Linked DNA regions of Anolis sagrei. The protein of the gene in region 1 interacts with the protein of each later gene in a pairwise test. Links are inferred from orthologs where the notes say so. Each region holds a gene or a part of one and is shown in the gene's direction. Other genes may lie near its edges.

What was found. The genes of interacting proteins can lie anywhere in the genome.
Region 2: the proteins of CEP76 (region 1) and THRA interact in binary tests that used the Homo sapiens proteins (3 or more experiments, as listed by UniProt). The two-hybrid records come from large-scale screens. The link is inferred for Anolis sagrei from reciprocal best matches to the Homo sapiens genes CEP76 and THRA.

Annotation. Positions count from the first base shown.
Region 1 is NC_090024.1:66,286,376-66,293,540, reverse strand, and holds the start of CEP76 (centrosomal protein of 76 kDa), read left to right. Parts: upstream 1-4,150; 5' UTR 4,151-4,499; coding exon 4,500-4,562; intron 4,563-6,009; coding exon 6,010-6,165; intron 6,166-7,165. Other genes in the region: PSMG2 (proteasome assembly chaperone 2), read right to left, coding at 391-562, 3,926-3,985. UniProt on the Homo sapiens protein: Centrosomal protein involved in regulation of centriole duplication. Required to limit centriole duplication to once per cell cycle by preventing centriole reduplication.
Region 2 is NC_090026.1:40,792,634-40,799,987, reverse strand, and holds the start of THRA (thyroid hormone receptor alpha), read left to right. Parts: upstream 1-4,343; 5' UTR 4,344-4,696; intron 4,697-7,354.

The DNA of each region.
Region 1 (7,165 bases):
ACTTCATGGAATATCCAATTAAGACCATTTGAATATCTGTACTATACAGGGAATATCTGTACTATACAGGGAGAAAAGCATGTTTATACACTTCCCATTTTAATGTATGATTCTCGGTATTAATAGTATAAGCAATTATGTACTATCCCTTTGGAAGAATTGTGTGCTAATATATACAATCTGAATGAGAAATGTTGCTGAAAACTGTAATATCCACATCAATTAGTGCTGGAAAGCAGGGATAATTCACTTCAGATACTATTTCTCATATACTATTTCTATACAGCAAGGAGTTAAAATGCTCAAATTCATTCTAAAAAGAAGGGTGTTTCTCTGGAGAAGACACAACAAGCCCAAGTTAGCACCCAACATTACATTCAATGTACTTACCTTCAGCATTTATACACAGCTCTGTTGCATTCTCTTCTGTTGTTGCATATGGATTATTTCCAATCATTGGCACAAGACAATCAGTATAAAAGTACCCAACTTTAGACATGTCAAGGGTGGAAATAACTAGATCTACAGCCAGCTGGCCAACATTCCCCACCGATACCGCGGGCTGAAATGACATAACAGATGCATGCGAGTTACATCATCTGAAAAAAATGACTGATTTTCAAATTTAAAAAAACATGTTAGTTGAACACTGAACATTATTAACCATTTCTATTGAGTCCCCTTGGGGAGATAGGGCAGGTTATTATTATTAGCAGTAGTGGTATTAACACATTTCAGCTGTCAAACCACAATACTATAGTAAAGTAATGCCAAAGTAATTTATAGCAAAATGTACACATTCAGATTATTATTATTACTATGTTTATTTACACCTCACAAAGAAGACTCAAAGCAGTTTGTATTAGTATATTTTATAATGTTTTGGAGAAAAAAGTAATGTGGCTGCTATTTACCAATTTTAAAAATGGTATCTGCTTGTTCAGATAATTGTCCTTTTAATCGAACTGAGGCGAAAGGGTATCAAATCCTTTTTAACACAAAGAGACAGGATTCTTCAGCAATTATTATATACATAGTTTTGCTAGCAATCTTACACATAGGTTGTGGTGAGCTTTTCAGGTTGTATTACCATGTTCCAGAAGCATTCTCCCCTGACATTTTGCCCACATCTATGGCAGGTGTCCTCAGAGGTTGTGAGGTCTGTTGGAAATTAGGACAGTGGGGTTTATATATCTGTGGAATGTCCATGGTTGGAGAAAGAACTCTTCTCTGTTTGAGGAAAGTGTGAATGTTGCAACTGGAAGCTTGATTATCATTTAATGGCCTTGTAGCGTCAAAGCCTGGCTGCTAGCTGCCTGAGGGAATCCTTTGTTGGGAGGTGTTAGCTGGCTGATTGTTTCCTGTCTAGAATTCCCTTGTTTGAGTGTTCCTCTTTATTTACTGTCCTGATTTTAGAGTTCTTTTAAAAAAATACTGGTAGCCAGATTTTGTTCATTTTCATGGTTTCGTCCTTTCTGTTGAAATTGTCCACATGCTTTTGGATTTCAATGGTTTCGCTGTGTAGTCTGACATGGTAGTTGTTAGAGTGGTCCAGCATTTCTGTGTTCTCAAATGATATTCTGTGTCCAGGTTGGTTCATCAGGTGCTCTGCTATGGCTGACTTCTCTGGTTGAATTCGTCTACAGTGCCTTTCATGTTCCTTTATTCGTGTTTGGGCAATGGTGCATTTGGTGGTCCCTATGTAGACTTGTCCACAGCTGCATAGTAGACTCCTGCAGAGGTGAGAGGATCCCTTTTGTCCATATGTATTCTTGACATACATCAAGGGAACCACTGACCGCATAGGAACCCTGATAAAGAAAACCTACAAACTGGGTTGTTGTAAGTTTTTCGGGCTGTATGGCCATGTTCCATAAGCATTCTCTCCTGATGTTTCTCCTGAAACTTACAGACAACTCCACTCCTGTATGCTTGTCCACTATGCCCTGCCTCATGTACAGAGGAAGAATTGTTGGAGGCTACAGACAATGCCATTGCTGTTGCCTGTTTTTGGTCAAAAGATGTTTAGCTGCCTGTGCTCCTTCTATTTTTATCAGTTTTACACTAATTTATGCAATGCTTTTGATATGAAATAAATAAATCCTGAAACTTGAAACTTCTAGGCCATTAAATGCTAATCAAGGTGGCCAATTGAAAATTCACACCTACCTCCAACAGACAAGAGCTCTTTCTCCCACCCTGGACCTTCCACAGATACTTTTAAAAAAATGCGTGCCATTCAGTCGGTTGAAGACGTAGCGGAGCGCTAGTGGTCTCGTTTGAGAGGCGGGAGTATAAAGTTTTGTCCTGACACAGTTCAGTCGCCATCATGCGTTGGAGCAGTGAGGAATGTGCTTTTGCCATTGAGGCCTACTTTTCGAGCGGATTTGGAGTGGCCGGCCCGTTCTCCAGATTTGGCCCCTTGTGATTTTTTTCTATGGGTTTTTTTGAAATCCCGTGTTTATGTGAACCATCCAAGGACCCTACAAGATTTGGTTTACTCGGTGTATGGAGAATGGAGGACGTCACCTACCTAATTTGATCTTCAAAACTATGTAAAACAAAACTTTAGGTATTCGCCTACATTATATATTTTAAAAATTCCGATTCATACAATGGGTTTTATTAAGTTTTGAAAAAAGAAAGTTATGCTGCCTCACCCTACAAGAGTTCTTTCTCCCAACCCTGGACATTTCACAGATATATAAACCCAATTTTCCTAGTTTCCAACAAACCTCACAACCTCTGAGGATACCTGCCATAGATGTGGGCGAAACGTCAGGAGACAATGCTTCTGGAACATGGCCATACAGCCTGAAAATTTTATTTATTTATTTATTTATTTATTTAAAAGTTTTGTATACCGACCTTCTCACCTCTCTTGAGGGAATCAGGCCGGTTTCCGACCATAATATCACATACAGTCAATAAAACATCATAATTCGTATTACAGTAAAACATTAAAACAGCAATTACATTCAATAACTACAATGGTCAGTCGTCACACTAAAATCGTTGTTCATCATCCTCCATCCATATCTCAGGGTATTGGCTCACTAGTCGAATGCCTGTCTCCATAACCACGTCTTCACCTGTTTCCTAAATGTCAGGATAGAAGGGGCGGTTCTGATCTCCAGTGTGAGAGAGTTCCAGAGTTGAGGGGCCACCACCGAGAAGGCCCTGTCCCTCGTCCCCACCAGATGCGCTTGCGAGGCCGGTGGGACGGAGAGCAGGGCCTCTTCAGACGATCTTAATAATCTTGATGATTCATAGGGGAGAATACGTTCGGAGAGGTAAACAGGGCCGGAGTCGTTTAGGGCTTTATAGCCCTAAACAAACAACAACCCAGTGATTCCGGCCATGAAAGCCTTCGAAGATATACCTACAAACTATCTATAGACCTCGCAAGAAAACCCCGCAAATGCTACATTCAGCAAAAGACAAGAGGTATCCTCTCAGTGGTTCTCAACCTGTGGGTCCCTAGATGTTTTTGGCCTACAACTCCCAGAAATCCCAGCCAGTTTACCAGCTGTTAGGATTTCTGGGAATTGTAGGCCAAAAACATCTGGGGACCCCAGGTTGAGAACCAGTCTAACCACTGCAGGAGTCTCACCAAAATTATAGCTCCCATCATCCCATAGCACTGAGCCATGGTGTCAAACTGCATTAAATTCTACAGTCATCCCATAGCAATGTCAAACTGCTTTAAATTCTACAGTGTAGATGCGCCCTTAAAGGGGCACACACACACTCCCTCCCTCCATATTTTAGGTAGAGACCCCTCCTACTGCCTCCCTCCTCCTCCTCCTCCTCCTCCCACGCCTGACTCAATGCCACGCGCCCGCTCGCGCGTTGCCCGGGCAACGGGGGGTTGGGCGCTCTCTCCGGCCGTCTCGCGCCGCGCAAGGAAGGAACTGTCCATTACCATTAGCAGCGTGCAGCCTTTGAAGTCAGCGGGCGCGCGGCCCTCGCAGGGAACGAACATTCTATCCAAGACGCTGACTGGACGCACCGCAGGCCTACACAAGAGTTCCCTTTGGTAGCGAGAGCAAGGGGCCTTTCTTGTTCACCGCCTCGGAGAGGTGTCTTGCACAGTGCCTGTCCCCATCTGCGCTTACTGACAGCCAGTTAACGGGCGAGCGACAGTTCCTTTGAAGGAAAATTACATTTTTGTTGTTGTTGTTGTTGTTGTTCTGCCGTACGGGTATTAATTGCCTAACAAGACTCGATTGCCTTGCTATCAGGCAATTGTGATAGACACCTTTTATTTTTTGAAAGGCGGTTGAGGCCCGAGCAAGCGCATGGCTAGCTGTGGGAGGGGCCGAGTTTGCTGATTGGCTGGAGATCCAGCCAATGGGTGCTCTTGGGAGGGGGGAGACGGGATAGGCGGTTTGAGCGCGCGGGAGAACGGAGGAGTGTGGTGTTGTGGTTGGAGGTGCCTGGGATGAAGGCCTGTCTGGTGTCCACTTAGTCTAAGGAATTGGGACAGTTGCTGAGCCATGGCCTTGGCTCCCGGGAAAGCCTCAGAGCTCAAGCAGATCATTCACCAGCAGCTGACCAAGGTGAGAAGGAGGAGGAGGAAGAGAAAATGCCCATTGAAAGCCTTTATAGCAGGCTTGGGCCAACTTGGGCCCTCCAGGTGTTTTGGACTTCAACTCCCAGAATTCCTAACAGCCTCAGGCCCTTTCCTCCCCCCCCCCCCTCAGCCGCTTAAGCTGAGGCTGTTAGGAATTCTGAGAGTTGAAGTCCAAAACACCTGGAGGGCCCAAGTTGGCCCATGCTTGCACCATAGGAAGTCCACAGTTTGGGGATGGCTGCTACAGATGGTTGAATCAATGGATGCAGAGGCTGGGTGTATATACGAGGGGTATTTTAAAAGTAAGGTCCGTTTTGTTGTAGATACTAGTAGTTCGCGCTCATACCGCAATGAGCACGTGCATGCCTCGGGAACAACTGTGCTCAGCCGTATGTGATACGGTTTTTGTCAGCAAGGAACCTGAACGGTCCTCATCATGGACGTTGTCACGGCCATCTTTGAATTGTCGTACCCACTTACGCACTTTGCTTTCACTCATAACAGTATCACCGTACACTTCACAAATCTGTCGATGGATTTCTGCAACAGGCAGGTTCCTTGCTGGCAAAAACCGTATCACTGAGCGAACCTCACATGCGGAGGGTGAGTTGATAGTCTTAAACATTTTTAAAGCACAGAACAGAACCGTACAGGTTAGCTACAGAGCGGAAACTGAGCACAGTTGTTCCTGAGGCATGCCGGTACACAACGCACGCGCTAGTTGCGGTATGCGCGCAAACTACTAGTGTCTACAATAAAACGGATCTTACTTAAAAAAATACCCCTCGTAATAACAGTGGAATTAAAAAATAAGCAAATAAGCAAAAGTGGGAATCCCACTGAACTATGGCTTATGAGCAGGAATAATCGAACCTGATACTCTCCATCTTTGGTTTAAATCTGAAATTGGCTTGGTCTGAAATAGTCAACTATACACCAAGGCTGGTTTGCCTGCCTTCGTTTATTCAGTTGGACCTTCATACCCACATATTCTGCATTCTTCGATTCCCAACATCCATGGCTTAAAAACACTCCCCCCGCCTCCAAAAAAATCCAAACCGCCGACCTTGATTTTGTCATTTTGTATAAGGAACACCACTTTATTATGCCACTGTATATCATGGGACTTGAGCATCCATGACTTTTGGTATCCGCAGGAGGACCTGGAACCAAACCCCAGCAGATACCAAGGGCCCACTGTACTTATTTATTTATTTACAACATTTATATGCTGCCCTTCTCACCCCAAAGGGGACTCAGAGCGGCTTACAGGATATACATACGTCCAATATATTATATTATTAGCATAGTACAATATCAATATTAACTATTACTATATTGTACTATACCATTGTATTGTAATGTTATTAATAATATTACATGTAATATAAACATATACCTATATTATTATTAGTATTATTATTTCTTCATAGATGGATGTCCACAGCAGGGTCCGAGAAGTCCTTGCTGAGACTATTCGTGAAGAACTGGCACCTGAACACCAGCAACTCTCAGAACAACATCTAATGAAAGCCCTGATACGGAGAGGAATCATTAATGATGTTATGAAAGAACTCAGCTTTGTAACTGTGAGTAGTTTGAAGAAAACATCTGAAATGGTACCAGATATTGATTACATAATACAGATAAGGTAAAGGTCTAGTCATGTTCGACTCGGGAGGGTTGGTACTCATCTCCTTTTCTAAACCGAAGAGCTGATGTCTGTAGACACCTCCAAGGTCATGTGGCCAGCATGACTGCTTGGAGCACCGTTACCTTCCAACTGGAGCGGTATCTATTGATCTACTCACATTTGCATGTTTTCGAACTGCTAGATTGGCAGAAGCTGGGGGTAATAGCAGAAGCTCACTCCATTCCCTGGATTTGAACCACCAACTTTTCAGTCAGCAAGTTCAGCAGCTCAGTGGTTTAACCCACTGCACCACCGGGCTCTCGTGTATAATACAGATAACCTGGTACAAAAATATTTATGATTGGATTCATTGTGGAGCAGTGTTAATTTTAATAGATCAAAACTGCGTAGGTAAATTTCTTTGTTGTCATCTGCTGGAAGTTAGGGTGAGCTGGATCTATCTGCTCCAGTCAATTGCCTTCACTTCTGAATCTTCCTCCATCCTCTAACTCACCCATACACTCAAGGGATATGTTGCTGCATGAGGGACGAACCTGAAATAGAATTAGGTTATAAGAAGAAAGCACTTATTTGACATCAGAAGTCACTCAATTCAAAGACAATCGCACATGCAATACTTAAAATCATGTCTGGTGACGGAAACATATACGGTCATTTTAAGTTTGACAGAAAAGGGAACATCACTTTGTGAGTTATCTTCCTATCCTATCTAGGGATATTGCAGCTCTGGATGCAGGTTAAACCCCTTGCTGGCTAACCATTTTATGTAAGGTGTTTTTAAAAAATGGAATTAATTTGAAATTGCTATATTTCTGCAACCACAAAATGCCCATAAATTCTATCTTGAGTTTCAAATTATTACTGCTAGATGCCTCTCTTAGCACACACACAAAAGAATCAGTCATTTGCAAGATGACAGTACTGCAACATAAGGC
Region 2 (7,354 bases), on another chromosome or scaffold:
TTAGTCGAGACTCGATGTGATATTCATTGAAAAACTTTAGAAAAATGTGCTGCAGGATGTCCCACAAGAACAAAGTCTACTAAGAGCCCAGTATGTATGTCTACTCAATGCTTGTTCACAATTTTTGAGGCAATAACCTTATTAACCTGTCCTAAAATAAGGAATATGCAAGTGACATTTGAAAGTACACTTGAGACAGAGTGATATAGTTCAGTCCTCCTCCTAAGCGATTCCTCATAGTCCAAGTGTGATGGCCTTTCAAGTTCTTGGAAGACACTTGTGTTTTTTTTTAAATATGTGGAAGTTGGTTCACAGCCAATCAAAACGCAGTCTTCACAGAGTGGGGGTCCCAACCAGTGGCGTAATTAACACCACGACAGTGGCTTCTCAATCTGGTGCAACCTTCTTCTGCCTTCACAGCCATTGTAACATGTGCCATGTTATCTTCTGCCTGATCCAATGTTGAGGTCTTCGGATTGTGCTTGGTCTGGAACCTCCCCTGTGCACCCCCCCCCCCAGGAGTGCATGAATCTAGTGGTTATGCCCATAGGTTCATTGAAACATGCAAGCCGCCTCACAACGACAAGGTGACAATTCATCAAGGGGTATATATTTCATATATTTCAGTATGAGCTTCATCATATGTATCATGAACAAAACTATGCCTCAAAGGTGCTGCAAAGGTGGACTTCTCCACTTTTCCTTTCTTATGTCCAGTGTTTATTAGTCATTTTATGATTGTTTATTGTTGGACTATTCCTCCCGCCCCTTTCTCTCCTTCTTCTTTCTCCCTGTTCTTCCTTCTCTACCGATTCTTGGACTGCAACTCCCACCAGTCCTCCTGATCTCTCTGTCTATCTATCTCTATGTCATCTAGCTATCTGGAGGATTGCTGGCAGTTACAGTCCGGGAATAGGAAATTGGAAATATGGAGAGATTGGGATGCTTTCATAGAAATCCAAGGAGAAGAAAGCTTGCATCTTGGAAGCAGTGCATTTGGATCATCCTCTCCTCCTAAAGGGCCTGGTCTAGAGGATGCTGGGAGCTGTAGTCTGGAAGCAAGTGTGGCTATGCTATTGTGTGTTTTGTTTGCTGGGGGAGTCGTTTTTGCGCGTGCGCTGTAGCATCTTTTTGCTTTTTTGCCTTTTTAAGTCCCTTCTGTTGTGTTTTTCAGTGTTTTATGAGTGATGGTCACTCATTAGCCTGATAGGTGTATTGTGTCCAAATTTTGTGTCAATTCACCCAGTTGGTTTTGAGTTATGTTAATCCCACAAACTAACATTACATTTTTATTTATATAGATGGCGCATGGAGGGCAGAAGACCAATGCAAGTGTTAGATATAGATATACACAGCAGAAATCGCTAAATGCAAAAGGCAGCTTTTCAATCTTTCTCCAAATACATAAAATGTGTTGCTGTTAATTCACATTGAGTTGGCTTTGACTTTGGGCACAACATGAATGCAGTTTGATGCTATTTTAGCTGCTATGGTTCAATACGATGGAATAATAGGATTTATAACTTTACAAGGTTTTTAGCCTTCTCTGCCAAAGCATGCTGGGATCTAATCTACAACTTCTAGGATTCCATAGCACTGAGTCCTAGCAGTGAAAGTGGCATCAAATTGCATTAATTCTACAGTGTAGATGAACCCATTCTCGTTTCCTTATTATTTTTTTCTAAGGAGTCATGTCATTTCATGAAATGTGCAAGGTAAAACGGTTTCTGTTGGTCCATTTGATTTGCTCATTTGTCTTTGTCGCATGCACAAAATTATTTTTAAAATATTGTGTAAAATGACCTTTCGGACAATTGTATATGGTGCATATGAAACATAAAGTAATTTACTGTCTAGATCTGAATTCAATCTCCAAGATATCGCATTATGTATGCAAATACAGGGATTCCAAAATAATAAAAAAATTGGACATCCAAGGCTGGACCTACACTGCCATATAATCCAGTTTCTAAATCTAGATTGAACTGGATTATATGAGTCTATACTGCCGTATAGTCCCGTTCAATGCAGACAATCTGGATTCAGAAACTGGATTATATGGCAGTGTAGATGGGACCCAAAATACTTTTGATTCCAAACATTTCAGGTAAGGGATACTCAACTAGTACAAAGGGAAAAAACAAAGTGTCAGTACCTTCACTGAGCCAGATGTCATTTGTAGGCAGGGTTGCAATTATTCCAAAGACCTAGCAAAACTGCAACTCCCAGGATCCCACAGCCTTGAGCCTGGGCAATTAACGTTACAATGATTCCAAAGACCCTGTAAAACTACAATTCCCAGGATTACATAGCCTTGAGCCTGAGCAAGAGTTGCAAGGATTCAAAAGACCTTGCAAAACTACAACTCCCAGGATTCTATAGCCTTGAGCCAGGGCAGTTAAGAATTGCAAATGATTCAAAAGACCTTGCAAAACTACAACTCCCAGGATGCCATACCCTTGAGCCTGGACAGTTGAGAGTTGCAAGGATCCAAAAGACCTTGCAAAACTACAACTCCCAGGATCCCATAACTTTGAGCCATGCATTGACTCTAAAAAACCTTGCAAAACTACAACTCCCAGGGTTCCACAGCCTTCAGCCTGAGCAGCTAGAGTTGCAAGGACTCAAAAGACCTTGCAAAACTACAACTCCCAGGATCCCATAACCTTGAGCCATGCATTGACTCTAAAAAAAACTTACAAAACTACAACTCCCCGGACTCCATTGCCTGGAGTCTGCAAAACTACAACTCCCAGGACCCCATAACTTTGAGCCATGCATTGACTCTAAAACCTTGCAAAACTACAACTCCTAGGGTTCCACAGCCTTGAGCCTGGGCAGTTACGACTTGCAATGATTCAGAAAGACCTTGCAAAACTACAACTCCCAGGATCCCACAGCCTTGAGTGTGGGCAATTAACGTTACAATGATGCCAAAGACCCTGTAAAACTACAATTCCCAGTATTCCACAGCCTTGAGCCAGGACAGTTAGAATTGCATTGATTCAAAGACCTTGCAAAACTACAACTCCCAGGATTCCATAGCCTTGAGCCTGGGCAGTTAAGAGTTGCAAATGATTCAGAAAGACTTTGCAAAACTACAACTCCTAGGATCCCATAACTTTGAGCCATGTTTTGATTCTAAAAGACCTTGCAAAACTACAACTCCCAGGATCCCACAGCCTTGAGCCAGGGCAGTTGAGAGTTGCAAATTATTCAAAAGTCCTTGCAAAACTACAACTCCCAGGATCCCACAACCTTGAGCCATGCATTGACTCTAAAAAACCTTACAAAACTACAATGCCCGAGATTCCACAGCCTTGAGCCTGAGCAGCTAGAGTTGCAATGATGCAAAAGACCTTGCAAAACTACAACTCCCAGGATCCCATAACCTTGAGCCATGCATTGACTCTAAAAAAAACTTACAAAACTACAACTCCCCGGACTCCATAGCCTGGAGTCTGCAAAACTACAACTCCCAGGACCCCATAACTTTGAGCCATGCATTGACTCTAAAACCTTGCAAAACTACAACTCCTAGGGTTCCACAGCCTTGAGCCTGGGCAGTTGAGAGTTGCAATGATTCAAAAGACCTTGCAAAACTACAAATCCCAGGACCCCATAACCTTGAGTCATGCATTGACTCTAAAAAGCTTTGAAAAACTACAACTCCCAGGATTCCATAGCCGTGAGCCTGAGCAAGAGTTGCAAGGATTCAAAAGACCTTGCAAAACTACAACTCCCAGGATCCCATAAGTTTGAGTCATGCATTGACTCTAAAAAGCTTTGAAAAACTACAACTCCCAGGATTCCGTAGACTTGAGCCTGAGCAGCTAGAGTTGCAAGGATTCAAAATACCTTGCAACCCTACAACTCCCAGGATTCCACAGCCTTGAGCCTGGGCAGGTAAGAATTGCAAATGATTCAGAAAGGCCTTGCAAAACTACATCTCCCAGGATCCCATAACCTTGAGCCATGCAATGACTCTAAAAAACCTTGCAAAACTACAATTCCCGGGATTCCACAGCCTTGAGCCCGAGCAGCTAGAGTTGCAAGAACTCAAAAGACCTTGCAAAACTACAACTCCCAGGATCCCACAACCTTGAGCCGGGGTAGTTAAGGAGTTGCGTGGATTCCGAAGGCCATGTCCAACTAACTTGCCTTCGGGACGCCTCTTTGGGGAGGGAGAGAGGTGGGAGTATTTTCCTCCTTCCTTCCTTCCCTCTTTTCCTTCCTTCTTTCCCTGGCAGCACGCGCCCTCGGCCTGCAGGGTGCAGGCGTCAGCTAAGGCGGCGGTGGCAGCAACAGCAAGAGAGGCAGAAGCAGCAAAAGCAGGGAGAGGGAGGAGGAGGAGGAGGAGCCAGGGCCGGCCTCCTTCCCTTCGCCTCTCGAGTCCATTTCCCCAGCTCTAGTGACACCAACGCACCAGGCGAGCGCCGCTGCCCTTGCTCCTGCTGCTTCTCCTCCTCCTCCAGGATCTTACAAACCTCCTCGTCGGTGGCGCCTCCTTCTCTTCTTCCTCCTCCTCCTCCTCCAAAGAAGAAGAGCAAGGGAAACTCCAGCTTGGAAAGGAGGGAGGAGGAGAAGAAGGGGAGGGGGGGGGGCAAGGCAAGCACCACGCCAGCTTCCTGCTTGCAAAGAAGAAGGGAGGGGGGGAAAGAGAGAGAGAGCAAAGGCGACGCTGAAGCAGCCAAAGGTAAGCTTGTGGGCAAAGAGTGGCTTGGTTGGAAGAGGGAGAGGGTGTCCTTCCTGAACCCCAATATGTCTTCCCTCTTTTGAGCCTTGTATATGTATGTAGATATATTTTTCCAGCTGTCTCCACCCTCCTTGCCCCGTCCCATCGCAGCTGTTCCTGTCACTGCCAACGTTGCAAATCTGAAGATTTGGGGAGGGTTCCCCCCTTTTCCCACCCTTTTCCCACCCTCCCCTTCTCTTTTCCATGGAGGGATTTCATATGGAGAGCAATCCCTTCTCTCCCTGTTTTTCCCCCCTCCCTCTCTCTCTCTCTCTTCCTTTAATCTCATCACTTACTCTTCTCTTTCTCCCCCTCCTCCCCCTGCTTGGCATTAACCTATATATATATCTATATATCTATATGTTCTGCCTCTCCAGTAATGGAGAGAGAGAGTGCTTTAAAGGAGGGGCAAAAAAATAAAAGGGGGAGGAGGAGAAAAAAAAGAGAGAGACAGCTCTGTAGTTGTAGACACTTCCCTTTTAAAAAATATGTGTGTGTATGTGTGTTTTTCCTGGTTTGTTTACTGCGCTGCTCAAGAGATTGGTGCCAACTTGGGGTTTGCAGGAAAATATATATAAAGGGCTTGGACGGGAGTTGTTGTGCCAACTTGAGGTTTAAAAATATGTCATAGATATAAACACACATGCACATGTGTATATGTATATATATATATATATATATATATATATGCACACACACTTATGTATATAAGTGCACACACAGACATATATATCTGTGTATATATATCTATACACACATATATGCACACACACATCTGTATATATAGGTACACAGACATATATATGTATGTATATGTATGTATGTATATATACACACACACATTATATGCACACACACATCTGTATATATATGCGCACACAGATATATATATACCTGTGTATATATATCTATACACATATATATGCGCACACACATCTGTATATATAGGTACACAGACATATATATGTATGTATATATATACACAACCATATATATGCACACACACATCTGTATATATATGCACACACAGACATATATCTGTGTATATATATCTATACACATATATATGCACACACATCTGTATATATATGCACACACAGACATATATATCTGTGTATATATATATACACATATATATGCGCGCGCACATCTGTATATATAGGCACACAGACATATATATGTATGTATATATATGTATGTATATATATGCACACACATATATGCACACACATATTTGTATATATATGCACACACAGACATATATATGTGTGTGTATATGTGTATGTATATATATCTATACACACACATATATATGCGCACACATATATATGTGTATGTCTATATAAATAAAAATGTAATGCTCGTTTGTGGGATTAACATAACTCAAAAAACACTGGAGGAAAAACTATATCTATACACACACACATATATATATGCACACACAGACATATATATGCATGTATATATACATACATACACACATATATATGCACACACATATTTGTATATATATGCACAAAGAGATATATATGTGTGTGTGTATATATATATATATATATATATATACACACATATATATGCACACACATACATATATATGTGTGTATATCGATATAAATAAAATGTAATGTTTGTTTGTGGGATTAACATAACTCAAAAAACACTGGAGGAATTGTGTATATATATGTACGTATATATATATCTATATACACTCACATATATATGCACACACACATATATATGTGTGTGTATGTATATCGATATAAATAAAAATGTAATGTTTGTTTGTGGGATTAACATAACTCAAAAAACACTGGAGGAATTGACACCAAATTTGGACACAAGACGCCTATCAGGCCAACAAATGACCATCACTCACAAAAACACTGAAAACCACAACAGAAGAGGCTTAAAAAGCAAAAAAATACATTGCAACACATGTGCAGAACCACATACACACATATATACACAAATATATATACACATACAAAACACATATACACAGACTGGGCCACAGCAACGCATGCCAGGGAATGGCTAGTGTGTGTGTGTGTGTGTGTGTATACACACGCACATATACACAAACACATAGGACTGGGATTTGAGTTATACCCCCTCCCTTGCACATTCCCTTCTGGAATTAAACATTGCACTGTGTTGTCAGAGGCTTTCATGGCCAGGATCACTGGATTGCTGTGAGTCTTCCGGGCTGCATGGCTACGTTCTAGAAGCATTCTCTCCTGACGTTTCGCCTACATCTTTGCCAGGCATCCTCAGAAGTTGTGATGTCAGTTGGAAATGAAGCAAGTAATGTTTATATATCTGTGGAAGGTCCAAGGTGAAAGACAGAACTATTGTGTGTTGGAGATAAGTTTGATTCACAGGGAGGAATCAGCCAGGCTTTGAAGCTGCAGAGCTATTGTATACTCATCAAGGTGATTAATTGCCACATTCACACTTGCCTCCAGCAGACATGAGTTCTTTCTCCCATCCACAAATATATAAACCCCACTTGTCTAGCTTCCAACAGATCGCACAACCGCTGAGGATGCCTGCCATAAATGTGGGCGAAACGTCAGGAGAGAATGCTTCTGGAACTTGGCCATACAGCTTGAAAAA